Drosophila melanogaster: one gene and its partners. The protein of the gene in region 4 interacts with the protein of the main gene of each other region in a pairwise test. Each region holds a gene or a part of one and is shown on either strand. Other genes may lie near its edges. The genes, in order: CG15167, CG14545, SC35 and indra.

Evidence for each region.
Region 1: the proteins of indra (region 4) and CG15167 interact in a two-hybrid assay, tested with the Drosophila melanogaster proteins (one large-scale study listed by BioGRID).
Region 2: the proteins of indra (region 4) and CG14545 interact in a two-hybrid assay, tested with the Drosophila melanogaster proteins (one large-scale study listed by BioGRID).
Region 3: the proteins of indra (region 4) and SC35 interact in a two-hybrid assay, tested with the Drosophila melanogaster proteins (one large-scale study listed by BioGRID).

Annotation. Positions count from the first base shown.
Region 1 is NT_033779.5:18,737,141-18,743,538, reverse strand, and holds CG15167 (uncharacterized protein), read right to left. Parts: upstream 3,182-6,398; 5' UTR 3,130-3,181; coding exon 2,779-3,129; 3' UTR 2,732-2,778; downstream 1-2,731. Other genes in the region: CG42752 (uncharacterized protein), read left to right, coding at 3,533-4,021.
Region 2 is NT_033777.3:25,847,632-25,854,316, reverse strand, and holds CG14545 (uncharacterized protein), read left to right. Parts: upstream 1-3,025; 5' UTR 3,026-3,125; coding exon 3,126-3,284; intron 3,285-3,353; coding exon 3,354-3,629; 3' UTR 3,630-3,907; downstream 3,908-6,685. Other genes in the region: CG5886 (uncharacterized protein), read right to left, coding at 573-1,500, 1,743-1,889, 1,997-2,397, 2,513-2,584.
Region 3 is NT_033779.5:12,428,091-12,437,285, forward strand, and holds SC35 (SR family splicing factor SC35), read right to left. Parts: upstream 5,949-9,195; 5' UTR 5,823-5,948; coding exon 5,745-5,822; intron 5,620-5,744; coding exon 5,489-5,619; intron 5,091-5,488; exon of another isoform or gene 4,935-5,090; intron 4,861-4,934; exon of another isoform or gene 4,708-4,860; intron 4,634-4,707; coding exon 4,255-4,633; 3' UTR 4,219-4,254; intron 4,115-4,218; 3' UTR 2,985-4,114; downstream 1-2,984. Other genes in the region: Trm1 (tRNA methyltransferase 1), read left to right, coding at 53-507, 571-1,650, 1,708-1,882; CG5435 (uncharacterized protein), read right to left, coding at 1,982-2,103, 2,188-2,603, 2,657-2,697; eRF3 (eukaryotic translation release factor 3), read left to right, coding at 6,907-7,333.
Region 4 is NT_037436.4:1,337,506-1,346,515, forward strand, and holds indra (indra), read right to left. Parts: upstream 4,899-9,010; 5' UTR 4,887-4,898; coding exon 4,867-4,886; exon of another isoform or gene 4,565-4,866; coding exon 4,423-4,564; intron 4,357-4,422; coding exon 2,317-4,356; 3' UTR 1,955-2,316; downstream 1-1,954. Other genes in the region: Hmbs (hydroxymethylbilane synthase), read left to right, coding at 1-35, 98-1,665; Ptp61F (protein tyrosine phosphatase 61F), read right to left, coding at 6,823-7,024, 7,121-7,656, 7,993-8,359, 8,438-8,700, 8,772-8,945. UniProt on the Drosophila melanogaster protein: Required for rDNA copy number maintenance and non-random sister chromatid segregation (NRSS) following unequal sister chromatid exchange. Binds ribosomal DNA (rDNA) preferentially binding to intergenic spacers (IGS) regions on both X and Y chromosomes.

The DNA of each region.
Region 1 (6,398 bases), on a different chromosome or scaffold from region 4:
CTCGTTCCAAAACGTCGAATGCGTCTAATTTCTTGGCTTGCTTTTGGCTCTTTTTGCGGCTGCCTATGTTTTTTCGGCTTTATATCTGTCTCTTGGCCAGGCAAGCGGGACAGAGCACGGCAATGAGTTGGGCCAGGGAAGGGGTGGAGTTCTCGGTGGATGTCGTGTCTCGGTCTCCGAAAGTCTGGCTCCAAAGCCTTGCGATCCATTCGCCAACGTCTGCTCGGCGGCTGCCGCGTTTGTCGTTTAAATCGTACCACCACAGGCGACATAAAAATAATGAAGTGTGCGGGTGTGGTCGACTCGCTTTTGGCCAGGTCTGGTCTTCAGTCTTCAGTCTCCAGTCCACAGTCTTCGGTCTTCGGTCTTGGCTCTTTGCGCTGAGCCTGGTCCTCTCAGCCTGAGCATGCATCTCGGCCCGATTCGGGGACTGACTGGCCGATCGGGGCGACTGTCGACTGTCGAACGCTGCGACGTTTGCAGATTGCCGAGTCGTGTTTGGCCCAGCGGTGCGGTGTCGGCGGCCCATAACCAAATCAACATTTTGCGGGAGTAGTTTCTTGGTCGGGCTCCCTTTTTTGGAATGATTTTATAGGGCGAAATGGCAGCCTTAGTTGGCCGAAATGAGGCTGAAGAGGAGTAATTTGAATATGGTTTACAAGCGCTCGGGCATTATTGAGCTAAAAATTGGGATTAATTGAGATGATTTATATGATAGGTAGTTAAGTTTGTTCGTACTCTAGAAGAGAAGAACAATAATAAAATACATTACTTTACGATTTTACTGAATATCAAAGAAAAACATTATATATTTCATATAATTCTCCATTACATATATAAATTAAATCGTAAATTAAAAGAGCTCACTTTTATTGATTTTAAATACTTAAAAAAAAACCCACACAAATAGTTCTGCTGCAAATGTTTGTTGGGTAACTCGCTGAACACACGCCCAACCAACTGCAAAAATATAACGGTATCCAAGGTTGTGCTACGCTTAAAATGTAATTGTTCGACTTAAAGAGCCAGAGCAACAACATCAGCCAACAGCGAAACAACAAAACCAGAAACAACAACAACACGGCGATCAAGTTTGCCGCCGTCACCTTTTGCCGTCTAATCAAATACCAGACCAAGACCCAGGGAATAACGCCATCGCTTGAGACTCTGAGCTACCCACCTATGGATACGATACGATACCATACGATATGTAGATACATCCCATAACCGGCAGATGCATGTGCAGTAAAAAAAAATAACACGCATTAATAACTACATTAATTAGTCACCAACTATTGTGTTTCTTTCAATATATATAACATATTTGTATTTCGTACCTATCAATTTTACCTATTATTTGCCAACAAAATTACATACTTCTAATGATCAACAAGCATTGCACCATTTAAATTTAAATGATATTATCGAACAGAATAAGTATTATAATATTTACAGTTTTTAAAGTTTCTAATATACAATTAAATACATCATGATTGTGCAGATTATGATTTCTCTCCGTGTCGATGTATGGGCATGCCTGCATGGGCAGAGAGACACCAACCAACACATGGTCGAATCCGAAATTCAAATCCCAGCTCAACGTCATCGAAGCGCCGCACTCTGGAGGACTCCGCGATGCATCGCAGCGGGTCTTTGGGGGCTGGGGCGGAATTTTCACTTGAATATTCGACACACTTTGAGCCCGGGCACACACAGCTGGAAGTCGCGAAGGTTTGCAGGATTTCCAGACTCAGATTCAGATTGAGATTCAGGGAGGGGCGCCACAGCGCGCTTGGCTGTCTCAGCGATTCTTGGGGCTATGCATCATCATCATCATCATCGGCCGGGGCCGGCGTCGAAGTTGGAGCTGCAACATGGCAACATGTTGCAATCTGCCAGCTCTGCATGCATAAAATATTATGCAACATTATGCCACAGACACAGGCCAGACGACACTCTTGGTTTTATTTACACTTTTTTCGGGCTGTGGCCACCCCTCGCCCGAAATGTTGCTGCTTATTAGTGCCGGGATGTTGACAGCGTTTAGATCTAATTGAATCGCCCGGATCGCCGATTTCTGTGCCGTCCGTAGAACATTTGGCTTGGCCCGCTCCCATTTGGCCCATAACCCATAAATCTAACACACCGGCACGAGAGATTTATAGAGTTCAGATTGCGAAATGCGCAGAAGCACAGCACAGCGCGCAGCGCCGAGCTCGGAAAATCTTGAAAAATTAAAATGACTAGTGCCGGGGCACGATCAAGACCGTGCTGCCGTCTTGATAGCAGACAATGGCAACTCCGGAGGAGATGGAAAGCCCAAAAGCGAAACCTCAGCGGTAGTCAGCATTGGGGCGTCTGCAGTTCAACGTTCAAGTGGCACAGTACGCCCTAGAAAAATGAATTGATTCGATTGTTTTTCGCCGCAACTCGGGCTCCTCTACTTTATCTGCCAGCGCCGAGCGGAAAAATCTGAAAATGGTTAGACAAAAAAAAAACGAAAAATCAGGGGCAGAGGCAAAGGCAGAGGCAGGGAGCGCGCCCCGAAAAATACTGATGATACAATCGCGTTTTTGACTTTGAAAAGTCAGCTTCGAGTCAGCCGGGCTATTGTTCAATGGCCCAACTGCAGCAGCGGCAACATCAGCAACAGCAGCAGCAGCAGCAGCAGCAGCGGCCGACACTGATTGTTATGGTTTATGAGATGAAAATGCACTCGAAACAATATTCTGGGGCCAATGCAATTTGCGATTTTTAATCAACTCCTCTCGTCAGCACTCAGCAACAGAAGAAAACATCGTATTTGGGGGCCCCTGATTGCAGCTTCCACTTCGAGAATCGTGGCTCCTTCATCTGGCTTTTGATCTTCTCCCCGTCCCCGAGATGATTCCCCTGGCTCCTAGCCTGCATCCACTCGACCATCATCTGCAGGCCAGCAGAGCTGCCCTCCAGTTCGCCGCCCACTTTGCGGCCACAGTGCGTATGCGCGATGTAGCCACACACCTTAAGTTCTGCGGCTTTGTGGGCCACAACTGAAAGCAGGGCCTCATCGGAATCTTCGGGCACACTCATTTCATACGCTAATAGGTAGATCTCTGGCTGCGGTTGGAGTACCAGTTCCAGCGACATTTTTGGGAATGGAAATTTGAGTATGTGAGTTTTCACGGCTTTTGAAAATAAATGATCCAGATTTCCTAAGTTACTCTGCTGATGATATATAATCGAAAAATTTGCGTGGAGTAAACATCACTGATCCATCCAAAGGTAAGCATTTAAAACAAATTCTGAATCTTTAAAAATGCTATACTTTTATATTTATATAGATTTTCGTAAAAAGTATTTTTATAAACTATCAGGAAACGTATTTTAAAACAAAATGTCAATTAATAATTATGCTTTGCGTAAGTCATCAGTTTAATCAATTTAGTTTAAAAACAAACCTACACGCCAGTAAATTTAGCTTAACACTCAGTACAATCCAAAATTATAGCCCTAAGTTATTTGCATATCTTTCAGCAAAACTAAACAAGAAATGACATTATTAGGGTCCTACGATTGGATGTTCAATGAGGATATTCAACTTAGGACCGAGTTTAAGTTGTACAACATAATGTCAAGGAACCAATTTCCGCGTCGAATTCTTCAATATTGCCACAAAAACCATATAACCGGATACATAGTATTCACCCACGGGGGCAAACAAGCATTTGGAGTGATGGATGGCAAGCGGAAAGATTTAAACCGGATAAAGCCCTACCTTCTGAGGTTTTGCATTCCAGAACCCTTTAACCAACGAGTCACTTTTTCAGCCTACGAGTTATGCTTCAATCCGAACAAAGAGAAATTTAATATTAAGGATAGAGTTCCTAAGGGCGCCAAGTTTCTGGGAGATATATACGAGGACTGCTTTCTGAGGTTCAAGAATCAAAAACCGGAACCGGAAGAGGAAACCGAGGCAACTAAAGCCTTGTTCGCAAAATATTCCGACTTCTTTAACTTAAAATATTTCGTCAATTGTTAATGGACAATATATAGCTAAGACTATGCCAGCACAATTCCCGATTCTCTTTAGTCGCAGTGATTTCTCGCAGTGTGGATGCGACTCGTGCTGGCCATTGTTCAACACTATTTGCGGCACTCAATCTCTTAATTAAATATGCGACTAACTGGCAGCTCGGAGGCACTCGAAGAGTGGCCCAGACATCGCCGTTTAGTGTCGAAATTGTGCAAGTTTTGATTTTCCTTTTGTTGTTATGGAAGTCGCTGTTTGTATTTTTTTTTTGTTTTTGTTTTTGTTTTGGCTTGGTTTGGTTTTCTTGTTCGCTGGATAATCACAGGCCCGGCGAATAGACGGCAGAAATTAAATCAGCCAAGGTTATCGCATTAATAAGCCCCCTGGTTTGGGTTTTACAGTTTTCTGAGCCAGTCAATTATTAAATTTGCAATTTCCGTAGCTGAACTTTTGGGGTCAGTAGACTGATTTAAATCAAAACCGTAATTGAGCATTGCCCGCGAGCTAGAACCAATCGCACCAAAAACCAAATACCAAATACCAACCTCCGGGCAGGAAAATTGACAAATGTTTGATAGCTAGCTACCTTTTCGGATTGCTTGTTTCACGTGCATTTATTTTCCTCCAAAAGCGGATGTGGGGACGCTGCGAATCCGATTCAGAAAATGTACAGAAAAAAAATCGAAAATCAAAAACTCCCAGCTAAGTGGCTTTCCATGACATTTTACTGACACTCTTGCCGTTGAACTGGAAGACCTGTTTTCATTTTCCCTCTTAGCGCAACTTAACACATTTGACGAAGATGTCTATGCCAGCAAATGACGTGTCATCAATGGAGCCCGCACTCCCACATAAAGATGCACAGCGTCCTCAACTCGATCTCGGATCTCACATCTCGCATCTCGTACCCCGGCCACAAATCCCCAGCACTTGAAGCTTGAAGAGATCTGTTGGTGCTGTTGTATTAATAAGCCTGACATTTGAGCAGAGCATCCACTCGAAGCCATCGGGTTTCGGTTTTGCGTGTAGGCGTCTGAAAATAATAATTAAAAAATCGTTTCTAATGCGGAAATCTCGCGTTTTTGAGCTGGGGGTGAGCTTAATGCCGAAGATGTTAGACAAATATATCAGATTTCTATTTCTTTTTTTGTCGCGCTCCTCGCTTTGGTTAATCTTCCAGTGGACGGTTGTGGGGGATCGGCAAATCGGTGACATGGGTAAAGATGGATCGTTGGGAAAGCAATTGAACAGTGGATCGTCAGAGGTGAGTTGTGGAATCGTATGGGACCACAAGATGTAAAAAGGTGTAAAAAAGAAAAAAAAAATCAGCTTCCAAAATGTTTTTGATTTGTAGGCACGTCAGAAAGTTGTAAAAACATCCAAGCGGCAATGTATTAGAAACATGAAAATTAATTGGCTATAATAAAAAATAATATCTTTAGGTTTTATAAATTACATGATAATTATAAACCCATAATGTATTTATTGGCTAACCAAAGAAGGAGTTTATTCATAATATATCTTTATAATCGAGCACCTAACGGCAGTTAATCGTTAACAATTAAACAAGTCACAACTACGAGAGATGGACAGATCGACAGCAGATATTAAGGCCAATAGGTTGGCCATTGGGCTGGGCTGTGGCCGAAAGCATTAGGCCAAGTGTCCCGGCCCGCCCAAGAATTCAAAGACCTGGCCCGCCCAAATAATTAAATATGTAAGAGGCAAGAGCCCAAGTTAATAACAGCTGCTACCACAGAAGCCTTTTGCCGGCCAAACGTTAAAAATTTAATAATCGCCTGCGAGTATAAGGCGGCCAGATGCATTCGTAGGCCCAGAGATACAGATACAGATGCAGGCCCATGCCCATGCCCAGGTCGAGATACAATATACAATATACTATAATATGTACTGGTGCAATATACACGAAGGCAGCAGGCTCTGCGAGAAGGTCAGACCTCGCACGTTTCATGGCTCATAGCGCTCCTATCGTATAATTAGAAACGAACGACGACAACACGACGACAAACAACGACCGCCGTTCGCCGCTGTATCCGTATCTGTGGCCCGAATGTATCTGTATCTGGGAAACAGGGGAAGGTCTCTGGCTCTGGATACGCAACAAGCGATTCTCAAATGAGCCAATTGTAGAATGCCCGACTACGTCAGTGTGTGTGTGTATGCCCACTATTTTTGTGTACATAAAGAGTGCCACAGTTCTGCAGAAACAGATAGCTCGTGTCGAGCAAGAAGAATAGAATAATACGTGCTAGGTGTGGGTTCGTCAGAAAAAAGTTGATCTATTTGTGGAATTAAAAATAAAAAAGAATAAATAGTAAGTATGACGTAAAATAGATCTAAGGTGTCTGGTGCAAAAATCGGATTT
Region 2 (6,685 bases), on a different chromosome or scaffold from region 4:
CAGCTGCGTGTTGAAAATAATTAAGGCGCAATTATAATGACCCTGGCCACGAACCGCAGGCACTCACCACTCATCACCACCGTTGAAGCCACCCCCATCCGTTCGCCTGTTGGCATTGCAATGTGTTGCATGCAACACTAGACTTTGTGGCGTCGCCAACAATGACGAAAGCAATCCATGGCCATCGAGCTTGTGCGCTCTGGCAGTTTCCCATTCCACTCCACTTATGCAAATTGATGCGAAATGTGGGCTAAGATTTATGCTTAAATCTTTTGGAAGGACATTCTGCAAATATTTACCCAAAGAAATAATTTTAATATTCTTATTCTGTTTGCAGGAAACACGTTTTACTCAATTTGTTGTTGAACAGCAATACACGATCACCGACGACATCCTTTAAATAAATACAATATACAAAGTACAATAAATAACTAGTACAAAATTCGGACCATGTAGGTTTGTAATTGATGACGTTTTTCAGTTGAGACATGGATGACACAAAATGCTTTGCAGGGAAGGCTTGGTGGCCGCCCGAGATTTGGAGATGGGACTATAGGCGAACAGTCAGTAGTTTAGTTGGCATTGGCATCGATTAGGGGAGGCACTTCGGATATATCAACAAGTGACTTTGCGGTGATAGCGTCGCCATCACCTACGAGCTCCTGGGTGTCTGTCGCAATGTCAACGGTCTGCTCCTTTTCGTTCTTAACGTTTGAGGCATCACCCGCTGCCTCTAGCTCGGCCTTTGACTCCGTTGCGGCTGATTCCTGAACGCCGTTCGCCTCACCGTTCGTTGTGGATGCTGCAGCTTCCGCCGCCGCTGCAGCTGCTGCCTTTGCCTTGGACTTTTTCTCCTTCTTGCGTATATTCTTCTTGGCATTGTTCGCCTGACGCTGCTCCTCGGCCTTCTTCTTTTCCTCAATGGAAGTCTTCGATTCATTCGTCGTTAGCAGCTTCATTTGGTTCTGCAGATTTGCCAATGTTTGCTTCAGTTCCGCACAATTGCGAGACATCATTTCCATTTTAACATTTTCAGCACTAACTGGCTTGACGTTTACTGGCTCTGGTTCAGGAGGCAACTGCGGCAGGGCGGGTATTTCGATCTCGTGATCCCGCAGGCACTTGTGCAGTGTTGTCCTCTCCAGCTGTAGAGCACGCAGTAGCTTCTGCAGCTGCTGTATTTGCTTCTGCAGGCGCTCTGAGTGCTGCGTCTGCAGACTCTTTTCTGTGGCTAAATCGATCACCATGGCATTAGCTTTCTCGTACTTTTGCCGCCAGCCCAGCGCCTCCTTCTCGATCTTCTTAGTGTGCTTGGACATCTTCTCAAGCTCCACCTTGTAGCTGCCGAAAACCTCATTGGACTTCTGCAGCGACTGCTGGAAGTCATCGTACTTGGCGGTGTATATGTTCAGTTGCTCCTTCAGTTGGTGCTCCCGATCGGTGAGATCCTTTATGGCACGTTGCGCTTGCATCAGTTTCTCCAGGCCAATCTGGTTTTCCCTGAAAGAAATGTGGAGTTTAGATATTTTTCGTGTGGATTAAGCTTTGACTAAATCATATCAAGTGAAGAGCAAACCGAGTAATATGAATTATATGCTAGCCACTCAGCTGTCCTCAATCAAAACCAGTAATCTCAGCGAGTTTGTTAAATAAAAACTTGTTTTCTAATGTGTGACCATCTATGGTCCGTTTATCGCGAGATGCAGAGAAGCGCCGGATGACCCGGCATGTTGTGCACATACTTGCTCAATATCTCCTTTTCCATGGCAGCCTCCACCTGGCATTTTTGCAGCTTGGCCTGGTGCAGCTGGGCCTCCAACTGAACCTGTTCATTGAGCTTCTCCAGGTGCTGCTCCCTCGTTTGGTACTGCTCGGCCAGCAGCTTTAACCTAAAACGGGAGACCAGATGGTTAGGGAAAATCGGAAAACAGAGAACGTGCGTGTGCAGTGGCTATATTTAGAACGCGGATCCCCGCAGCGTTGCGGCGATGCTTACTTCTTGGTCATCTCGATGTTGTAATCGCGCAGCTTGATGTTCTCCTCGTTGTTCTTGGCCAGCGACTTTTGGACATCGTTCAGGGAGCTTTGGAACTTTGTCTGGCTCTCCTTGCGCCGCTCCTCCTCCACTTTGATTTGCAGCAGGCTCTCGTTCTTTACGGACTTTATGATGCGCTGCTGTTCGCGGCACACCTCCTGCAGCTTGTCTCGCATCAGGACGCTCTTGTTAAGATCCCGCTGAACCTGCTCCTTCTCCCTCTGCTGCGACTCCATTTGGCGCTGCAGGACACGCAGTTCCGCCGTCAGCCGGCTTACATTCTTTTCGCTGTCCACATGGCGTTGCAGCAGAAGTTTCACCTTCTCCTCGGCGGAGGGGCATTCGTCAAGGGATTTCATGACCTAAAATAGATATAATTCCGCCTTAAATTTTGTCTATTTATTCCCGTTTCCATGGATTCTGGCAGTCTATGGAAATAGGGTTTGGTTCTGGCTTTTGGCCATCACGCGCTCTTACCAACTCCTCCAACTTCTGGTCGCGCTGCTTCTCCTCGCGCGCCACTTTTTTCGCCTTGCTTAGCTTCTCCATGGTCTATTCAAAAATCGGTGCTATATTTAACTTGTATTCTATTCCTCTTTCGAATTTTGACTATATTTGTTGTTGTTGCTTTGCTTATATTTATAAAACAGTGAGACAGTTTCGTTTTCCGGCAAATACACTGAAAAGCGGTGAGAAGTAATGTTACGTTTTTATTTCGCATCCAACTGGTCACACTGAATTTACGATGCTGCCGGAGCGTCAGCCGGCTTCTTTTTCCACAAAACCTTTTAAAGTGGCAAAAACTTATAGGAGTCCAAAAATATTTGATAGTGTGTCAAACCAAAAAAATGGTTTTACACATGCTTGTTGGCGCCGAAAAACATTTGAATTATAGTCTTGCGTGCAACAGCCCACTGTTATGAGTTAACAGCACCATGTTTCAGGGTACCGAAATCTACCGCCAGGTGCTGCAAATTGCGGATTGCAAGTGCAGCCCTCGCTTTACAGTTATTCCCGCCACCACAAGATCAATTGGAAATTTCACAATTTGCCAAATTTATTACCAAATTGGTCGTTTTAAACACGTAACATGTCGGAAAGAGAAGAAGAATCGATTGCATACTTGATGGAAAATGGCATTTTCCCTCGACTTCTGGAGATTTTAAAGCAAATGGTGGATATCGATCCGTTGCCATCGGACCCTCTGATGCACATTTTGCATTTTCTGGGCTGTCCGCTAATTCCGCAGGTTAGAGTTGAAATTTTAACAATATTTTAAATAAAATCGTATATGCTTGCATCCATTTTGTATGTGCAGGCCCAAATGAAGGCCCTGGAGCGGAAAGTGTCGCGTGCCCATGATGAGCTGCGCCATTTGCGCCGTTTGATCATCGATTTGGATGCCTTGGATCAGCTTTACGATGGCGAAAACGAAGTGGAGGAGTATGTGGGCAATGTGGAGGAAGCCGTCTCATCATCGAGCGAAGATTCCATGGTGGAGAGCATTGAGACTACGATGGACTCCACGAAACCGGAGCTTGGGCTATGTACACCGATGTCATCGCTCAAGGATTCAAATCCTTCAAATCCATAGATCGCACAGTATCGAATCACATTTGTCGTTGAGCCTTTATTATGTACTGGATACATATCTTTGGCAACTGCATGTGAGTTTTGGATGCATATTTCTATTACATTTTGTTTATTCGACGCAATGTGAGATGTAACCTCGACTTTTTATCAAGTGAACGTATAACATTGTATTGTGTACATGCCATACTTATCCATTAAAAATTGTTGACCAGCATGATGTATGGAAAATGTTTTGTTCCTTTTCATATTAAAAATACTCAATGGATTTCTCTTAAAACTAAACAAATGATGTCTTATAATACAAACACATAACTATCGAATACCTTATTATCTTATTATTATCAAGTATAATTTAAATTTTTAAAAGAACTTGTTAAAATTGAATCAGTTCGATGAGGTTGATCTTCTTTATCATCTCCCCATGTGCACAGTTGATTAAAACAAGGCTCCTGTTTTGACCCATTTCGAGTTGAGTGCCATTAAACCTCTCAACCTGTGGGAAATCAATAACTAATATATGCTACATGGTTTGCCGGCAATATCTAGGGCCAAATAAAACAACATTTCAATTAAGTTCAACATGGTGAGGTGTGTAGCTGCTGTTTGGCAGCAAAACGGGGAAATTTAATTTGCGACTGACGTCATAGATTATAAAATAAAGGTTGCAATTTAATTTAAGGTTCAGGGGATTAGTTTGTTCATAATTATTGGCTTGCGAAAAGCTGCTAATTAGGTCGGGCCTTTAGTAAAATGCAGTGAATTAATACATATTTGGATTTGTGCTCAAATGCATTTCAAATAACGCGATGTAATATAAAATAAATTAGTTGACGCACGTTAGTGTTTAATTATTTAAGTTTGGCGCTTTTGCCTAGTTGAATATTCTCGTATTCCTTTAAAACAATTCTTTTGCAAAAGTATAACATAAATGTAAATAATACTTTAAGTAATACAGTTTAAATTTCCATGGAAACTTAAATCATACATACATACATCATGTATAAAATATGTTAAAGGTTATTCATATGTGAAAAGCACTTTTCACATGAATTTAAACATTTTTACGACAAAGCCAATAATACTTTCGTTTTTATGCTGCACTCTTGCATATTTAATGCACCTTTTCTTGCGTTAAATTTAACACGTGTGGAGCAGCCTGTAGAAGCAGGCAGCTCAATGATTTACACCGTATATTTGTCACAGTGCGATAAATCCATCTAATCCCCCGACATATGCATGTCCGGCTTGACAAATAAACTGCAGCAGGGCTTACATAAATATTACTCCCAAAAAAGAAAACATATTTTGCCACATAAAATAAACATGAACTTTTCTGAGGCGGGGCGGAGCGGAAACGGGGCGTGGCCGAGCAGCAGCTGCTTTTAATTGCTTTTGCTGGTTTTTCGAACGTTTTTGCAACTTTTTAGTTGACATTGAATAATCGCTGCGGAAATTGTCGCTTAACGGCAAATTGTGGTAAAAGCAGAGTGGACTCAGCTTGATAATTGATTGGAGCTCTTTAAAATTGTTTGTTTGACCGCTGCTGCAGGGCATTTCCCTGTTTTTTTTTTTATCTCCTCTCCGCCGTTTAATCTGTCCACGCGTGCCGACTGCAAAGTGGCCAACGGCCTGCTCTTCTTGTTTTTTTTTTTTTTGGCCAAATCTGCATGTCAGTTGGTTGGGAACGTACAACTTTGGCCACGTAAAATACGAGACCCCTCGTGCTCTCAGCCACAGGCCAAACCCATGCAAAACAAACAGGAGACGGAATCAAATGAAGTGCAGTATGCCAAGTTGGCTTCAAAGGACTGCAGGCGATCATTGAAAAATCGCGAGAGGGACTACACGAATTTCGCAAAATCCTTAATAGCTTATATAAAGCTAAAAATTGTTTTACGTTTATATGGCAACTGTAATTAATTGAAAAGAAATTTTAAGCAGACTTTTTTAAAAATTTGCTTTTTTAGGCACAGCTGGGAATGTAAATAATGTTTTTTTTTTGTTTATTTTATAGTAAATGCAATATTTATTCCCCTCCAGGGTGCCTAAAGGCCATTATAATCTTGCAATAAAAAAGCTTTGCATGTCATCAGGAATTTAATTTAACTTTCCACGTTTATCAGAAATTAATGGTTCACTACAATTTGTAAAACCTGATTATAGCATATATTTTATATTATATATGTATAAAAATGTATATCTTTGGTAAAAATTTGAATGCATTACGACATTCTGTGAGAACTGCATATTGAATGAATTTCCACGGGAAAATGTATCGGGATGTGGAAAATGTATGGAAAGGGTGGCAAGGAGCAGCTCTGCGCCGCTTCAATTTCATGTCGAGTAAATTTTAATTTACTGCTCTTTTGTGACCGCATGCAAGCCAACCAAACTTTGGGTTACTGGGGAGCTTTTTTCGACATTTTTTTTTTTGCTTTTTTGGGTGCTTGTTTGTGTGAGTTTGTTTTTTGGCTTGTTGGTCAAATGATATATCCGTATCCGGTCGGTTGGACGGTCCATTCGGCCCGAGGCCAGATGTGAAATTTTTAAAGCCAGCGGATCGCCGAGCTGCCATTAGTTTTAATGACCGCAAAAGGCAACCGAGAACAAAAAATAGAAAGTGCTGCAAAAACAAAAAAAAAAAAAAACAAAAACAAAACAGAGGGCGAAATAAAAATTCAGCTATTGCCGGCAGGCTAATTGCAGCCTGTCTGAGTGGGCGGAGGGCCGCGTGGGGGCGTGTCAAATCTCAAAACTATGCTTCATTAGCCAAGCTGCTAACTCTATTTGCCTAATGGGCCGCAGCCCACCAGAAAATGAAAATAAATGCAAGAAATTTCTGCCATAAAACGTGCACGGCTTAAACAACGAAACGAATTGAAAATTCCAAACACAACAATTAAAAAGCAATTAACTATGCAAATTTAGCTCTGTTAATGAGCCGGAAAGTGTATATACACATATATCTTGAGTATTTTTCGTGGGTGTTTCCCGTTTGGGGCGAACGGAAAATAACCGGCCAGCATCTGACCCAAATACATCAATGTCTGGGAAATG
Region 3 (9,195 bases), on a different chromosome or scaffold from region 4:
AAGAAAAACACATTATAAATAAACCACATTAAGCTAAGCATTACGATTGCAGATTATTGCTGAAAATCCCAACGAAAACGTGATACGCGAACGTAATGCGGAGATCGTTTCCGGCGGCAATGTGTTCTACAATCCTGTCCAGGAATTCAATCGAGATCTGAGCATTGCTGCTCTGAATGTTTATCGACAGAGATTGACCAAGGAGCGGAGCGAAAAGGCGCTCAAAAAGCAGCGGAAGAAGGTCAAGGAACAGGAGGATGAGAAGACCACTCCCGTTCCCGAGGATCCACCTGTTTATGAGGCCGGTACTCGATATGAGGATGGACTTCGGATCCTGGAGGCACTGGCAGCCACCGGTTTGCGTAGCATCCGTTACGCGCAGGAAATCGCCGGTGTACGCCAGATCGTGGCCAACGATCTTTCCCGCCAGGCAGTGGCCTCGATCAACACAAACATCCGGCACAACAAGGTGGAGGAGCTGATCGAGCCCAGTCACTCCGATGCAATGTAGGTTTATAATTAAGCTATTGGCACACGGTATAAAATGGGGCATTCCAATACATCGTACAGGACCCTCATGTATCTTTCGACGCAACCCGAGAAGCGTTTTGATGCAGTTGACTTGGATCCGTACGGATGTCCCAATCGCTTTTTGGATGGCGCTATGCAGTGCCTGGTGGACGGCGGCCTGCTGCTGGTGACAGCCACCGACATGGCCGTGCTGGCCGGAAATGCTCCGGAAGCTTGCTATGTAAAATACGGATCGGTTCCGCTGCGGATGAAGTGCTGTCACGAGATGGCATTGCGCATTTTGCTGCACTGCATCGAGAGCCACGCGAACAGGTACGGCAAGTACATCGAACCACTACTGAGCATATCAGCGGACTTTTACATCCGGATATTTGTGCGTGTGTACGTCGGCCAGGCCCAATGCAAGCTGTCGATGAGCAAGCAGTCTTGGATATACCAATGCACCGGATGTGAGACCTTCACGCTGCAGCCCTTGGGCATAACCAAGCCAAATCCCACGGCTGGTAATCCCCAGCAGCTGAAGTTCGGAATTCCCACTGGTCCGGCGGTCAACTCGCAGTGCGAACATTGCGGTCACAGGCATCATCTGGGTGGACCCATCTGGTCGGCACCGATTCATAACCCCGAATTTGTGCAGGATCTTTTAACGGCGGTCCAGGAGACCACCTTGCAATCGCTGGGAACCCAGAGACGAATCGTTGGAGTTCTTTCCATGGTCCAAGAGGAGCTGCAGGATGTTCCCCTTTACTACACGCCGGACAAACTGTGCTGTGTGCTCAAGCTAGAAATCGTGCCCATGCTAAAGTTCCGGTCTGCTATTCTCCACGCTGGCTATCGAGTCTCATACTCGCATGCCTCGAAGAATTCGTTGAAAACCAATGCTCCACCAGCGGTGCTATGGGACATTCTGCGCAGCTGGAGCAAGCGACATCCGGTAAATCCCGAAAGGATGATTCCTGGATCTCCACTGGCGGCCATACTTTCGAAAGAATGCACTGCTGTCTACGAGTTCGATGAACTCCATCCGGAGGCGAACCCGAAGAGTCGCAAATCGGCATTATCGCGCTTCCAAGAGAATCCGACTCCACATTGGGGACCTGGAACCAGAGCCACTATTATGTAAGCTAAGTAATCGAGCCACCCACTTTCGCATACTAAATTCCCATCCAATTTCAGGATTGGTGACAACAAACTACCCAAGAGCTATCGTAACCAGAACAAGAAACAGCGTCACAAAGCGTCGGAGCAACAGGCGGAGGATGACCAACAGGACACTCCACAAGCAGTGGATGAGTATGATGGAGATGTGGAGCACCTGCCCAAGCAGCCCAAGCTGGAGGCGACTGCGTGACGACTGCTTCTGTGTCCCAAATTTATTTCCAATAATGTTTGTAAAACCCAAAACGCAAAATGGTATTCTTTCTGGGAAAGCAAACACAGATTTGTGGAACTAATAGCGGAAGAAGTTGCCGTCGGAGGTCTGGCGCGAGAATCCATTGTTCACCAGCTGGTTGTGGACACCGCTGCAAATGAGCTTTACGCTGTGCGGATGAATCTTTTCTTTACAACCGCCTGCAACAATATGATTAGATTCGAAGTGGGTGTTACTTAAAATGCGTCGAGAACTTTAGGTTTGTACCAATTTTGTGATCTTACCTATGCGAAGTGGATGACCCAATACGTCCTCCTGCTTGCGCCGAATGAAGCGCGTGTTGCGCAACACCCGAAATGATTTGAGTTGGGAACCAATTTCCTTGGCCGCCCCAGGAGCTGACCAGCTACTTATGGCGCGGCACGTCTCCCTCTGCATCACGTAGTCCACCTTGTCCGGAAATGCTTCGCGGGTGTGATCGTAGCGCGACTGCAGCGAAAAGTCCAGCGTATCCTTCGGGATGTTCGGATTGGCACGGTACCGCTTGCTCGAGCGCACCGAGTTCATCGTTTGATGATAGAAGAGCCGCTGATACGGCTCCAGATGGCCATGCCAGGTGCCCGGTTTCAGATGGGCCTCCGGCAGCGGGGGCTCTGGAAAAGAGCACACATAGGTGCCCTCCGTATGCAGTTCCGGCTGCCTGAGAGCACACAATAGTCATCTTGAGCCAAGTCGGGCATAACTAAAGCTTACCATGATACATTCTTGATCTGCACAGTATCGTACTGAATCATCTTTGCAGGAGAAACCAATATAATTTAGATGAAAGTGTAAAAGGGTTTCTGAATCGTATTCAGAAGGACTTGGGTATATGTGATTTTGCCTTCGGTTTCCCGGCAACTGCTTTGTCAATATACCCCCCGACTACCATGTTTCTCGGGAGTCAATAGAAACCGAAACATAATGGATGGATGTTCTGGGCATCCGAAGATACTAGATCTTTCTTTACAATATTCCAAGATACATATATGTTTTAAAACCCCATTTCAACCAATTAATAACATATGTAGATGGTTAAGTTATAATCAAGTAAAACTTTATTGAAGCGTTTAATTAGGCTGCAAATTCAAAGGGTTAGCTCTCTCACTTACCGAATGTACCAGATCGTTAGGGAATCCCACATTTCGGTCGAGTCAGTATGCAATCCAGACTCTAGCATCCATCGCATCGTCGATGTGGCCTCTGCTGCAAATGATGACTTTTCGCCTAAACTCAAAAGGGACGCCCACCAAGATACAGGAAAACACCAACAACGCCAACCAGCAACAAATCGCGAGTTGAGACGAGACGAGACGAGGCGAGAGAAGAAGTGACGGGAAACGGGAAACTATGAGTGAATCTGGAGCAGCTTTGGCAGCGCCAGCGTCTAACAGGAAACAGGAAGCTGCTACGGCTACGGCAACTGCAACTGCAGCATCAGCGGCACCAGCAACAGCATCATGCGACAGCAGCAGCATCAGCATCAGCATCTGCAGCAGCAGCAGCAGTAGCAACAATCAGGAGCCACGCGGTGTCCGCCTACGTGAGGAAGGAGTTGTAGCTTAGATGATGCGCTGCTGCTGATCCTTAATCGCGAGCGATTTAACCACAATCTTATCTGAACCGCAACAACTGCCACACACCATTCGCCTGCATATATATAATAAACGTGTGGGAGAAGCTTGTTAATAAGTTTGTCGTTAAAAGGTACAAAGAACGGAAACGAGCAACACAAACGCAATCGAATCGAATCGCAACGAAACAAACAGAATCCTAGAGTATTCCTATCACTCATCCACCTCTCATTCTCCTCCTGTCCTGTCTGTCATTTGATATTTAGGTATTGAATTGAAGCCGTGTTAATTTGAGTTTATTTTGTTCTGTTTCTGATTACGTTCAAGGATTTCTACTACGCTCTAGTATATGAAAGCCTATGTGCAAGAACCGACATCGAGGGATCGCCCAGGTTGCGGGGATCTCACTCGGAACATAATCATGCCTGATCTCTACTTATTTACTCTGCCGAAACTTAAAATAGTTCGCTATAAATAGTTGTGTTAAGTGTAAGATTGTATAATGGTTTCTATACCTGCTGTTCGGGTACAGCATGACACAGATGGAGCCATAGATCCGGAACAGGATACAGCATTGGCCCTAGTCAGCGAGTCATATCTGAAAGCAAAGAACAACTAGTTTTAAAATAATCCCTATTTAACGTAAGGTATGTTTAACCTTATATAAAGCTTTTTCTGAAGCGTTACACGATATGAACTCACCTCGCACTCCCACTAAATGGAACGTGACGTCGATATCTAGGAGCGACTGCGACTACGAGACGCGGCTGGGGCCAGTCCTCCAGATCCGCTTCCGATTCCATTGCGGCTGTCGCCGCGTACTGGACTGCGTGAAAATTTGGATCGGCGTTCCGGCGAGTGGCTACCAGGCGAGCGGGAACGGGAGTATGATCGGCGACGCGGACTGCGCGAACGACGGCGCATTGGGGAGCGAGAACGTGACCGACGACGCCCGCCGGAACCACCGCCTCCTCCTCCGCCACGACGACCACTGGAGCTGCGAGTGGGCGAAGAGGGGCGTCCGTAGCGGGCCATCTGTACGCGGAGCTCCCTGCCGTCTAGCATGCGACCATCCATGGCCTCCAGTGCGTCCTCGGCATCACGTTTGTCATAGAAGCTAAAAAATTAAGGACATGATCAACTAGATTCGTGTGTACTTTGCACATACGTTTATTTATATTTAAGTCTATATTTAATTGTAGGGCTTACGGTAAGTTGGCTAGCAGGGGTTTGGTAGGCAACTGTTGCAAGTGTACACATTCAATCTAGCATCCTTTTGCTAAAGAAGATGTACAGACTGAAAGCTGTTACACATTCAAAAGGGGCAAATAATGCAGGTAGATACAACAAATAAATAGAATAAGTGACCTTGTATCAACTTAATGTATCATTGAAGCCATATGTTATGAAACTATAACTTTAGAACTTATTATTTAGATGTAGTATTCTCTGTACGTTGGCTAGTAAATGTTGAGTAGGCAACGGTTGCAAGTGAACACATTTGTTCTGGCACCATTTTGCTACTGAAAGTGTACAGATTAGCAACTGATACACAATCGATGATAGCAAATAATGCAAATAGTTCTAATGAAATGAGAGGAATATTTGAGTTTAGACAAGGGGCGTACTTATTATAGCAGCTATATTCAAATGATATTTAAATGATTACTCTGAGACTTTTGTAATTTGCTTGCATACCCTGATTAATTCAGGGAATACATAACATTTTTCCTCAATGTGCTAGTTTTCAATGAAACATTATAAAGTAGATAGTGAAAGCGGATATGACGAGTGATTGTATAGCATGATTTTCGCAGTATACTTTCGGGAAATACATATATTTTACTCCTAGTATGTATGGATACATTTTAGGTCCCATGATAATTAAAATCCACCGCCGGCAAGTGAAAGTAACAAAACAAAAAAGACCTAAGACTTTCACAATTTTCCCGGAAGAGAAGTGAATGCTTACCGAACAAATGCGAATCCGCGGCTCTCACGTGTGTAGCGATCCCTGGGTATGTAGATGTCCCCCACCTCGCCGCACCGCTCGAAGACCCGACGCAGATCCTCCGGCGTGGTGCGATATGTGAGATTGTCGACCTGTAGGCATAATTACACGCGGATTAATTTACATGCTTTTGGAGAGGTTACCTAACCACACAACGTTGCCAGCCGGCCGCCATTTTGTGGGCGATTTAGTCGCATTTTACTTAGCAGATACTTGCCTTAAGCGAGACCATTCCATCGATCCGTGGAGGTGGACGCGCTGCGCCCAATCCCCCGGCACCACCACCGTTGCTCATTGTCTATTTGGATATTTGTTTTACCGCTAAAATGCTAATGCGAATGCTGAAAACGAGCCAAACTCCAGACGATTTTTTCACTACTGTTAAAATGGCGTCTGGCACGACGTTAGAGCTGGAACAACATCGATTGTAATTCGATACCATTGATGATGAGCTTAGAAATGTATTGAAACCCCAAGGCTCACTACACACTTATCAATATTTACAAAACTCGCATTACACTTCTATTATACAAAATAACTAAATTAATAATTATAAAAACTCACTGAAAGTGAATAAAAAATTATTAATGTCTAGTCACACATAAAACAAATACAGTTTGTATTTATATATGTACATGTGGACTACGTTATATTTAGCCTTAAAAAATTATATTAATCAGAACAAAGTACAAAAGCAATATAATTATTTATGTTGAATAATTTTAAAAGTATTAAAAATCTTACTAAAAAAATTTAAAAATATCTTAATACTTTGCCCCAAATCAATTATAGGCCACTGTGACAGCCAGCACATATCGATGCACCGATAACACCGCATACAAGTGGCAACCCTGACTTGATGCGTGGCTTAAAACGTGTAAAATAATAGAAGATTGCTAGTTCCGAGCACTGCATTTAGTGTTCAGGTAGTCGAATCATACCTGCAGATCACCAGGTGGTCACCACTGCCCCAAACAGGCGATAGTCGATCAAATTAAAGGGAATTCGAGTTCAACCCGAGTTGGCCAGGCTAGCAAAGCACAAACAACAAACACAACACCGAGTCACAACAAAAGTGTAGACCACATTGAGCCGAAAGTCTGGCCTAAACCCCCCACAAGCCACCCCCCCGGCCAACAACCATCAAGGCGTGCGTGTGTTGGTGGCATTGCTTTTGCCATTCCCAATTTCCATTACCATAGGCAATCCCAAGAATTCCGAACGACCGCGTGTGTTCTGTGTGAGTGCGGGAGCAGCAAGAAGAAGCAGCTGAAGCAGTTTGTAGAAGGAGGGCGAAAGTGTGTCGTCGCGTGAAAAAAGCGAGAGAGAGATTTTCATCGGAGGAAACCACTGCGGAGGATTACGGACGCACTGCAACGATGGCCGCCCAGGAAAACACGGAGATCAGCACAAAGTTCTCAACGCTGAACGTGAACGCGGTAGAATTTGTGCCCAGTTTCAGTTACAACAGCGTTGTGAATGTAGCTGAGGAGGCGGCGGCAGTAGTGGTTGCAGCGGCTGCGGCCGAGGAGACGGCGGATCCGGGTCCCGCCTCCGGTTCAGCCACGCCAGCCACCACACCCGATTCCGTCGGCAGCGGGGGATCCACAGCGGGAGCAGCTCCACCGCCTCCAACTGCACAGGGGGCGGGGGCAGCAGCACCCTCAGCACAGCCGCCCACATCATCCTCCAATTCCGCATCGCCAGCGCCGGGTTCGCCAGCCACCACGCCTTCAGCAGGAGCAGCGGCGGCGGATCCAACGCCCATCGATGGTCTCAACCCCTCGGACAAAATCGCAAACAATGGTAAATAGAGCTTGCTAGCTACCTAAATACCCCCTGCCAAATACACATGCCCCACGTCCATTGAACTCGCTTCTTCTGTGACGTCAACAAAGAAGCGTGTTATTGTTGCTACCTGCTGGTCGCAAGACCGTTGGCAGAGACACAACAATGGGGAATGGGATAGGGAAAACCCCAAAGATAGGTTGCATTCACCAGGTTCCGTTTAGGTTATTATCGCTGGCCCTAGTACATAACCTCAATCTGCGTCAGCACTGCCGACGTCGGCGTCGCATGTGTTGCTTGACTTCTATTCGAATTGCGGGCATTATTGTGCCGCTAAACAAATGGCTAATCGCTTTCGGCCTGCGCGCAAAAACAGTTCGTCCGGCCAGGGCCCTTTCTTTGGCCGCTTTTCTCGTCGTCGTGTCGCCAGCAGTGGCTCAGCGCAGAGATGCCCAGGAATCACGACCAGAATCACTACAGAGGTGTCACCAAATGGTGAAATAACCGCAAATCAGGTCTAGTTGTTTTCTAGAAACCAGCTAATGGTTGGGAATTAATCATGCACTTTGACATTTTTGCTTTAAACAAATGTAGGTACATACATTTAAAAATACTTGTTGAATCTATATGTACATGAACATCAAACAATCCACGCCTCGCTGTGATCTTGGGATTTGGGATTTGTGAAAACTTTCGTCCGAATAGTATTCTTATATTCTTAATCGTCGTTCAGTATTTTGAGTTTCAAGAATTGGGATATTTAAGAGTTAAGCCATGAAAATTTTACACGAATATGCTAATATAAATATTCTAGCCTTGTGTATTTTTCAATTCTATAAACTTGTTCATAATTTTAATATTCTGAAAATTTCATAGTTAGAAAACACTTTCTTGTTTAGCTTTGTTGATTTCTCGATGTAACGACTTATCACTGTCACTTGTTAAACTGTTAACAATCACGGCGCATCTCTGGTGGCCACTCACCTACTTGCCATTCGCCGGGCGACGTTGACAAGCAGCTGTTTGTGCTGCCATTTTACTGCCGCTTCGCTTTGTGGTGTCGTTTATTTGGCCATTGCCTTGTCCCCTTCTTCCGCACCCACACTCGCAAATGCTTGCCCCCCAATTCTTGTGTTTTGGACACGTTTACTCTTTTGTCAGCCATTCATTGGAGCCTACGCTGCGCCCAGCTTCGACTGGCGGTGTGGACTGGAATGGAATGGGCATGGGAATGGGAATGGCTCACTCGTCGTTATCGCAGCGACTCCAATGTGGCGACTTTTGTAGTTGCTTGGCCCGAATGGAAGCGCTTAGTGCAGCTCGCCGGCGGTTGAAACCGCTTCGAACTTGATTACATGGCGTTTGGCTGTGCGGCGCGCTTGCCAAAGCGCCGAAAAAAAATAGCATTTGCTGTTGGCTCTTACACTTTGGCGCGATCGAAGCTCGTTTCTCCGGCTATATCTACATCCGCTCCTAGTTCCGAAATCCGATTAGAATTGAGTTGTATGCATCGGAATCATGAGTAAGGGCGCCGGATCTCGCTACATTTACTCGTTTTCGCAGTGGAGAAAAAGTTAGTAATCGTGGAGTTGGGATACCATTCGTTACAGCCCATCTCCAGACGGTCAAATGATCCTCCGACATTTACGTCAAAGGTTCGGGAACTACTATTAACCAAGCACGTTGACACCAGCACAGAACAGCACTCCACCAATCCAATCCCGCACATGACTCATCCGCCCGGGTGGCTAGAGTCAGCGATTAGCAATTAGCATGTGGCCGCCAGGTCAAACACGGCGAGTGCATGAGTGGTAGTACGAAGTATATAATTGGTGAAGTGATAGCTCAACTTCCCTGAGTTTAAATCATCTGAAGTGCTA
Region 4 (9,010 bases):
CACGATAGCCTCGCTTCCAAAGGGCAGCGTGATTGGTGGGTGTGACAAATATGGCTAATTGTGATTAAAATGATTCAAATGTACCCTATATCCACAGGAACCTCATCTCTTCGTCGCACAGCCCAGATTCGCAGGATGTATCCCCATTTGACGGTGTGCGACATCCGTGGAAATCTAAATACTCGACTGGCCAAGCTGGATGCAGCCGATTCCAAGTTCTCCGGCATCATACTCGCTCAGGCCGGCTTGGTGAGAATGGGCTGGATGAGTCGTATTAGCCAGGTGCTGGAGCCGACCGACTTGCTCTATGCTGTTGGCCAAGGAGCCCTGGCCGTGGAGTGTCGGGCTAATGACGACCAAGTGCTGGCAATGCTGCAGAAACTTATGTGCCTGAATACAACGTGCCGCATCCTAGCAGAACGAAGCTTCCTGAAGACTTTGGGAGGGGGTTGCTCCGCCCCCGTGGCTGTTTGGAGCAACTTAAAGGGCGAGCCCTTGAATGGAAACAGCCAGGAGGTGGGACTATCCCTCACCGGTGCAGTTTGGAGCCTGGATGGTGCAATAGAGATACGGAACCATCTGGCATGTGCCTTAAATGAACAAAAATTGGAGGGGGACCAACGGAAACGAGGGGCCCAGGAGGCCACCAGCCAGTTGCAGGAGGAGACCAGCAGCAGCTGCGATTCTCCCCCGGCCACGAAGCGTGCCAGAAATGGCAACGACAGTTCGGGTTCGGACTCGAATTCCAGCAGTCCGCGCCAGCAAGGCAGCCCTCCAGTGATCTGTGAGGATGCGGCTGCTTGCGCAGCTCTCTCCGGTTACACTGTGGATCAGCTCTCGGATCTGGCCAGTCACTGCCCAGTGCTGAGTAACAACAATGCTGTGGGACCTACCGGAGTTAGTGGTGGTGGCGATGCGGATACCAACAATGTGAACACCACTCCCCGTCAGTGCCCTCTTCGCTTGGTGGGCGGTCAGGAAGTGATGGGCCAGTGCCCAGTGCCGCACAATCAGGCAATGGTTCCTGCCAAATGTCCAGTAGCGCATGCAGACTCTGGGGATTCCTTCAGCGCCAAGAGTGGAAGTGGAGGGGAATCGGCCACCACTGCTCACTGTCCACTACAGATGCCCGTGGGACAGGACTTCATGGGCGAATGTCCGTACGTTAACAACGATGTGAAGGTATCCTTTGCCCAAGCTGGAAAGTGTCCAGTGACTGGCGGTGTGGCAGGAGCATCAGCTTCTATTTTGCCCACGCCACCGAGCAGCAGAGCCAGTAATGCCAGCAGCGCTGGCGATGAAGTGGATAATGTTGCAACTTCCTCCAAGTGTCCCTTTGCGGCCATGCATCAGGGCAGCGGTCTTGAGGCGCCGGCTAAGGACAACGGAAACGCAGCCACAGCCAAGTGCCCGTTCCTGCAGAAAACGGTCCAAATGTTCGACTACGCCGACGAGGAGCAGCCGACGCCGCAGCACTCGGTGCTCATTGAGGATGTGGAAAACCTGTTCTGCGGTCTCTACCAGCACGCCTGTCACAGTCGGGGCATCTACGAGAAGGCCAACCAGCTGGGCAAGACGCTGGCGGAGGACCTGATCAAGCGCGGCGCCCTCGACGTGATGAAGGTGGCCCAGGCAGAGATTCACGGCAAAGTGGCGTCGTCTTGAGCCCGTCATCAATATCATCGTTTACATTAAGTAGAAAAGTGTAACTAGACAAAATGTTTTTCATTTCCGCCTCGTTGTTGAACTCCCGTGGAGAACTCATGCTTCCCCTGATTTAACATCGGTATTGTATTCAATCCTTCTGCTCTCCCCGGCGAATGCATCGTTAATGGTTGGTTTCCGCGTAAACGTTATTTTAGTTTTGTTTTTGTTTCGGGAATATGACAAATAAATGTATAAGTGAACTCATATTGTGTCATTTTTTCTCTCCACTGATTGAAACAAGCAATTTCGTAGCTTTTTGCCATTTTTTATTAACAGTTCATCGCTCAGTACAAATATGTTTATTACATTCAAGCTAATTTATATACTCTTGGTGAGTACAAGTGGTGTAACCAATGCGGTTATAATAAAGTCTTAATATACAAATTAAACTTATCTTTTGAATTGAACTTAATAATAGTTAAAAATGTATGAAGTAACCTTGTTATAAATTGCAGTTTTCATCGACTTTTATCAACTTTATATAGACCCTTTCAAAGTTAGCCATTGAAAATTCAAAGAATTATACTTAACATAGCAATAAGCTAACGTAAAACTACATTGGTCAAGAGAATGAAATGAAAAACAAAAATAAAAGGGAGTCTAGTGCAACTAGTGGCGCTTGCGCAGGTGCGAGGATAGGAAGTTGGCCTCCGTGAAGACCTTCTTGCAATTGGCTACGCCGCATGGAAGTCCACCTTCGGAACCACAGTTCGAGAAGTGAGCCACGTAATCCATTTGGTTCTGGTAGACTTCCTTGCATAGGGTGCACTGTAGTTTGGCGGCGTGCTTTTTCTCCATGTGCGAGTCCAAGCGTTGACGCGATTTGACGAACTTCCCGCACCGGTCGCAGCTGAGGGTCGACTCGTCGGCTGTTGAGTCACCAATGGACTCCAGGCGAGCCTTTTTGTGCGGCCGCACGTTGTAGTTGATTTCTTCCACTATGTCTACATCAGATGAGGGGAGCGTGTCCTCAGATTTGTCTTGTTTTTTTCGTTTTTCTGACTTTGCAGGCGAATTGCCATTGGTTGTGGACACAGACAGATCTACGTGACTGGTCTTCTTTGTCTTTTTAGCTGGCGACCGAGGTGCAATCATGCCTCCATCGACCTGGTGCTGAATGTTGTTCCTGGATCGTATAATCTTTTCTTCTGCGGGTCCTTCATCATCCTCCGCGGTGTTGTCAGTCTTAAAAGCGTCCACAATTTCCACAACCTCATCCTCTTCTTGCAGAATCTTTCGGTTGGTGAACTTTGCGGCTTTAGTAGGGCTTTGTTGTGATTTCTTAGGTCCTTCAACCTTCTCGGCCGTGTTTTCAATCTGAGTCGTACCCAGAATGTCTACGTCCTCATCCTCGTCCTGCAGAATCTTTCGCTTGCTGGAGTTCGGCGCTTCAGCACCGTCGGCATGTAGAGTCATGTGCGTTTTCAGCGACTGTTTGGTAGCCAAACTCTTCTCGCAGACGTGGCACTTGAAAACCTTTGGCTTGTCGATGCTGTGGACGGTCTTCATGTGCTCCTGCATCTGCTTGGCGGTCATCAGCTCACAGTCGCAGATCTCGCACTGAAAATTATTCGAATCCGCCCTGGGAGTGGAGGCGCTGGATCCATTGATGGCAAATGTATATTCCGAGTCGATCACGTTCTCTAACATCCTTTTCTTCATTAATGACTCATTTAGCGCTTTAAAGGAGGCGATTTTGGTAGCCTGGGTCTGGTCTGCGTCCTCACTATCTGTGCCCTTTTTGTTGTTCACTTGGTCGTCGATTTCGTCAACCACTTTGGTTTCAACATTACATTTGATCTCTGTCTTTTTCTCTTTGGACTTTTTTTCTTTTGGCTTCTTCCTTTGACTCACAGCATTGGTCTCCTTTGCCTTTGCGTCAATTTTATTCTTGGCCCCTGACTTAGCCTCTTTTTCCTTGCTTTCCTTCGCCTTAGTCTTAGCCTCGCTTTCAAAAGTGCGTGAGTGAGTGTCCCTTAAATGATTTTTCAAAGTCTTAAGCACTCCAAAAGTCTTAATACACAAGGTACAGGGGTATATGCGTGGTCTTTGAAGACCGTGCTCCTTCTGCAGATGCTCCTTGTACGGTTTGGGAAACTTTGCGTGAAATTCGCACTCTGGACACTGAAAGTTATTTGTGTTAATGGTGATAGGACCTTTATCCGAGTCCTCCTCTTCCTCGCTCTCGGTCAGTACTTCGATGGCATCGTTGCCGCCGTTGCCAAAGAGATTAAGGAAAGCCTTTTTAGTAGACGACACCTCTTTGGCGGGCGTCAGCTTAACCGAATCGTTAAGATTATCCTCGAAGAGTCGAGATATCTGCTTTTTAGGGGTCTTATCGAGTTTCTTGGGCGAAGCACTAATGATCTCGATTTCTGTATTAGTATTAGCTCCATTCACAAAGCTTGGCGGGAAAGCTGCTATGGACTTGCTGCGCTGACGGAGGGTGGTGTTCTTTTTTGGCACCTTAACCGCCTTCTTATCGCTTTCCTGTGTCGATGGCTCCTCTATTTCCGCTACCTTAGTCTTCTTGGCGGGCTGCTCCTGTACCCTGTCCACCGTCTCGCGGACCTTCTCGATTAGTGCCGCGCTGGACATGAATGTGGAGGTGCAGACGAAGCATATCTTGATGGGCAAGGATGATGGGATCTGAAATGGGATGGGATGATTTAGATGACGAGAAGGGAAATCAGAATGCCGCCATTTCCAACTCACGCTTCTGTGGGTGATGGTCTCCAGTACGTCTGTTATTTTCCTGCCCAGGAACACCTTCTGACCTGAAAAAACACTCTTGGACCCTTGGCTTGTGCCGCAATGGTCGCATCGCACCTCTTTTTGCACCTTGGTCATATTTTCACTAAGTTTTCCAGCAAAAACAAAAACAGAAATCAAACAACGTGCGCACGTTTTTTTTTTTGCGGGGCTACAGTTACCAAACACTGCTATCTATGTTAATCAACTGCAGTGCTGCCAGACCGAGTCACCAAAATATACCACATAGTGTGCTTATATATTATGGTTGCACGTTAAAAGAAGCAACTGCAGAACGTTCGCAGAACGAATCTTAATCTTAATAATTTTTGCATCAAATTTAGAAAGAGTGTAGAAAACAGTTTTTAAACTACCTATAATGGCAGTAGCAACTTTAAAAAATATTACCAAAGCAGTATATTGCGCATTCCGGTCACACTAAGTTACATTAACATTCTGTTAATGCTCACGTCGCGTTATGCAACAGCTTTGCGTGTCGATATATAATCGATAACTCTGAACTTGGTTTCCAATTTAAAAATAGTTTATTTAGGCATTAGAAGCTACAGTAATGCAAAATGATATGTTTAGTTTGTTTCTTTGTGTTGGTGCTGACCTGGATGGGCTGTGCCGTTACTTTGTCTTGGATTTTTTGAGTCGGTTCCCGCGCCTGCAAACAAAGAGATGAAAAATGTTATGAATGACAAGGACATGGCAAGGGAATGCGCCAGGATCAAGCGGTTCGCAGTTTTCATGTCTTAAACGTATAGCTTTATTTGAATACTTTCTCTGCTCCTCCTTTCTCTTTCTCTCATAGGCATAATATTGTATAGTACTGTGTTGTGTTGGATTTGTTTCAGTGTACGGTTGGTGTACTTAGCCGACGTTTAGTTAACTAGGCATTACTAGGTATTGTTCATGTTGTTTCTGTTAAATATACTTAATATAAATATGTATTTCCTTTATTTGTTATCCTCCTGGGCCCATCCGATTTCATATGGATTCATAGTGCCTCGCTTTCGGGGGTGGTTACTTGAATTTTGTTAAAGTGTGGGTTACACATATAAAAAATATTTGCGTCCTCTCACGCTACACGTTTATATAAATATGTTTCTTGGGATTGGGACTGCACACTTACTCTACTGGAAAAACCATTGAATAGTCTTTCGCCTTCTTCGTTCTCTCGTTCTAATACAAAATGGTTTCGCTATGGCAAAACCTGGATTATAATTAAATCATACACCTATACTTCGCTTAGCGACTTAGTAAACCGATTTTAGTTTAATTTGATTTGCAACTAGCCACGTGCAACTAGTCCACGGTCACAATTTGAAAAAAGAATCACTTTATTTTGATTTCAGATCGATCGGGGGCGAGTGTGCGAAATGAACAATTTTGATTATAACACTCCTTAAAAGCGTTAAACGAGATATAGGTGTACATCGAGCTGTTTTGTTTAACCGTAAGTTATTGCTTTAATGGCGCTGAATTTCGATTCATTAATAAAGTGCTCGTTTAAGGGGGGACAGGGTCTTTAATTTTAAACACAACAATTCAAAGTTAGTGGTAGTGGTAGGCGGGAGGCAAAGTAAAATTAAGAGTCGTTTAGGACACTTCGTACAATTCTCCGATTCGGTTCTTTTTGGCACATTGCTGCACTTTATATTTTGCCATGTACTACAACAAGTGGTGGTTTCTCATAATCTTCATAAATAAATATACATAGGTCGTATGCTATAAGAAATTGCTGTACAACAACAAGTGAAGCGTGTAGTGGGTGGTTGTCGGGTGCTTGAAACATTGGTAGTTATGATATTCTTAATATTTTAAGCATAGCGAGCAAGTAGGGTGAGCTTTGCATTTGGTATGGCTCGTTTGGGGCATCTGGTCGGTTATCAATCCATTTTTAGAGTGTAGAAAATAAATTTGATCTAAAATGTCAGTCTATTGCGCAAAATCTACATTTGACGTGATTTCTACCCGATTTTCGTTAGTTTAGTTTAGTTGCTTCTTTTCTTTCATTTGTTTCTTTTGTTTTCCTTCTTGTATTTCGTATATAAAAAATTCCCTAATATTTATGCATCTTGTATCGTTCGTTCAGCTCAATCAATCCGCCATCCGCAATTCGTGTGCGATTGCATGGCGTTGCGATGCGATTCCGTCCGATCTCTGATCCTTTCCGATCCGTTGCACGTCGTCCTTGATTCGTTGCCCGCATTAGATGCCGGGTCAGGCGGACGAGCAGGTGGGGATCGGAAGTCGGAAATCGGGTATCAGGGGAGGAATCGGTCTCCTACGGCAACTAAATACGTCATACAGCTATTGCTACTACTGATCTACGACTACTTAGTGGCTACGGGGCACTTAACCTAGCTTCGTGTATGCGTAGGCGCAGATCACGCCCACCACAACACCAGCGGCAATATATGTGAGTAATGACCTTCGTTTCTTTGCCGCCAGCTGTTTGTCCTCGTTCTCCCGCTGCTTCCGCTTCATGTCGTTGACCTTCTGCTCCAGGCTGGCCTGGTATTCGTTGCGTTTTCGCCGCTTCAGCTCGTTCTCGGGACTGAAAAGTACGAATTTGGAAGGGGATTAGAGGGATTTTTGTTTGACTAGGCGGTTGAAAAATAGATACTGAGCAGATCTAAGACTAGATTCTTACCTGGCTGGGAGCTGGCCTGGAATTGGATCGATGCCGTTCGCCTTGTGCTGCTCGTCGACTGGCACCGCTGGCTTCTCGTTGTTGGCATTAACATCGTCGGCATGTGGCTGTGTTGTCGCGGGCACGTGTCCATTAACTGGATCGGCATCGTGCTCGTTAATGGTCTCGTACTCCTCATCCTCATCGGTGTCGTCCTCGTCATCGTCATCCAGCAAGTAATCCTCATCGCTGTCCGAATCGTTGAAAGCCCTTACGGGTAATGGCGGCAAGGGACGACTGTCGGCCACCTCGGCATCGTGGATCATGTCGTGCTGATTAATGAAGTTGTTCAGGGCGTCCTTGCTCAGCTCTTTGCCGATACTTTCAGCTCCATTAGCCTGGGCCGCGCGCATATTGAGCGAAAGTATACCGCCGGAATTGGGGGCCAGTGGCAGATTAAGCGATTGGACGCGTGGGGGCAATGGCGGCGGCAGCTCATCCAGTGTGTGAGTCTCTGTGTCGTTGCTAATGAGGGGTTCTTCAGCGTCAAGAAAGGTCTGAAGAGAAATCAAATGTTCTAATTAGTCGCGGAAAATAATCAGGGCCTTCACAGAAATCTCTGCAAACCAAAAACAATGGTTTCTTTTTCGCATCAATTAAACAATAATCATTAAGCTGATACTAGATCACATAATAAAAAACAAAACTAAACATAATACAGTTTTCAAAAGTAATCATAATTCCATTAAACAATATGAATTCTAGTAACCATAACCAAGCCCAGAGATTTCTGTGACCCCCCAGAATAAATAGCGATGTGCAATATATACGGCGGTGCTTGGCAGCCCCCAAGTTTGACTCCCAAACGCCGACCGCTGGTCGCGCATACATACGGGATCGTGCAGCTTTTTAATGCCCTCGATGATCGCCTGGTAGGAGAAGTCCAGCTGGTCGGCGGTCTGTATGAGGCCCATGCGGTAGCTGCGCAGCTCGCAGAGCACCTTGGACACATTGCACTCTCCGTACTTGTCGATAAGTACCAGGCAACAGTCCACCAGGCAGAAGGTGCCCGACCGCCCGATTCCGGCACTGCAGTGCACTACGGCTGGACCCACGTCGCGGCTGAGGCAGCCGGAGTCGCGAACCTGCTGCAAGAACTTAAGGAATGCGTTCGGCGAGCTGGGAATGCCAAAGTCCGGCCATGTGGTGTAGTGGAACTGCATCACTTCACGACTCTGCTGCGTTTCGAGATCGGTTAATCTAGAGAAATAGTCAAAGGCAATTAGTCCACATGTACAAATGGTTTGAAGCAGAAGAAGAATAAAGAGTTCTACTCACTTGAACCATCGCCGCACAAAGTTCTGGTAGGTCTCGAGACGGACGAGCTCCACGGTGAGTTTGACGTGGGGCAGTTTCAGGGCCTTGTCGGCTCCCATCTCGTTGGGCCAGTAGAGGTGGCACTTGATCTGTTTCTTCTCCATCAGCTTGTTGAGCATGAGAACTGCTCTGGACTTCTGCTCCCATACCATCAGCCAGAAGTGGCCCACTGTGTCCACCAGCGGTCCTTGGGTCAGGATGTACTGGCGCTCGGCGCGCTCCAGCTAGAAAGGATTGATTGATCGCATTAGGCGTTTAATTAGGGGTGTGTGTATGCATTAAAAACGTGACCCACCTGAACCAGGTTCGCATTGATGTAGTCTACGCTGCCGCGCTTCAAAACAATGCGGGAATGATCGTACGGATTCACATCCCGATAGCGATTCAGGCCGCGGTTCGTGTGGCGTTCCGATTCCGAGGTGCTGAACTGCTTCTCCTTCGCCTCCCGGTCGCAGGTCTCACAAATTTCCTGGAATTCCGAAAAGAGCGATTAGTACAATCGAAACTACCCATAACAACAAAGGTTGAGGTGGT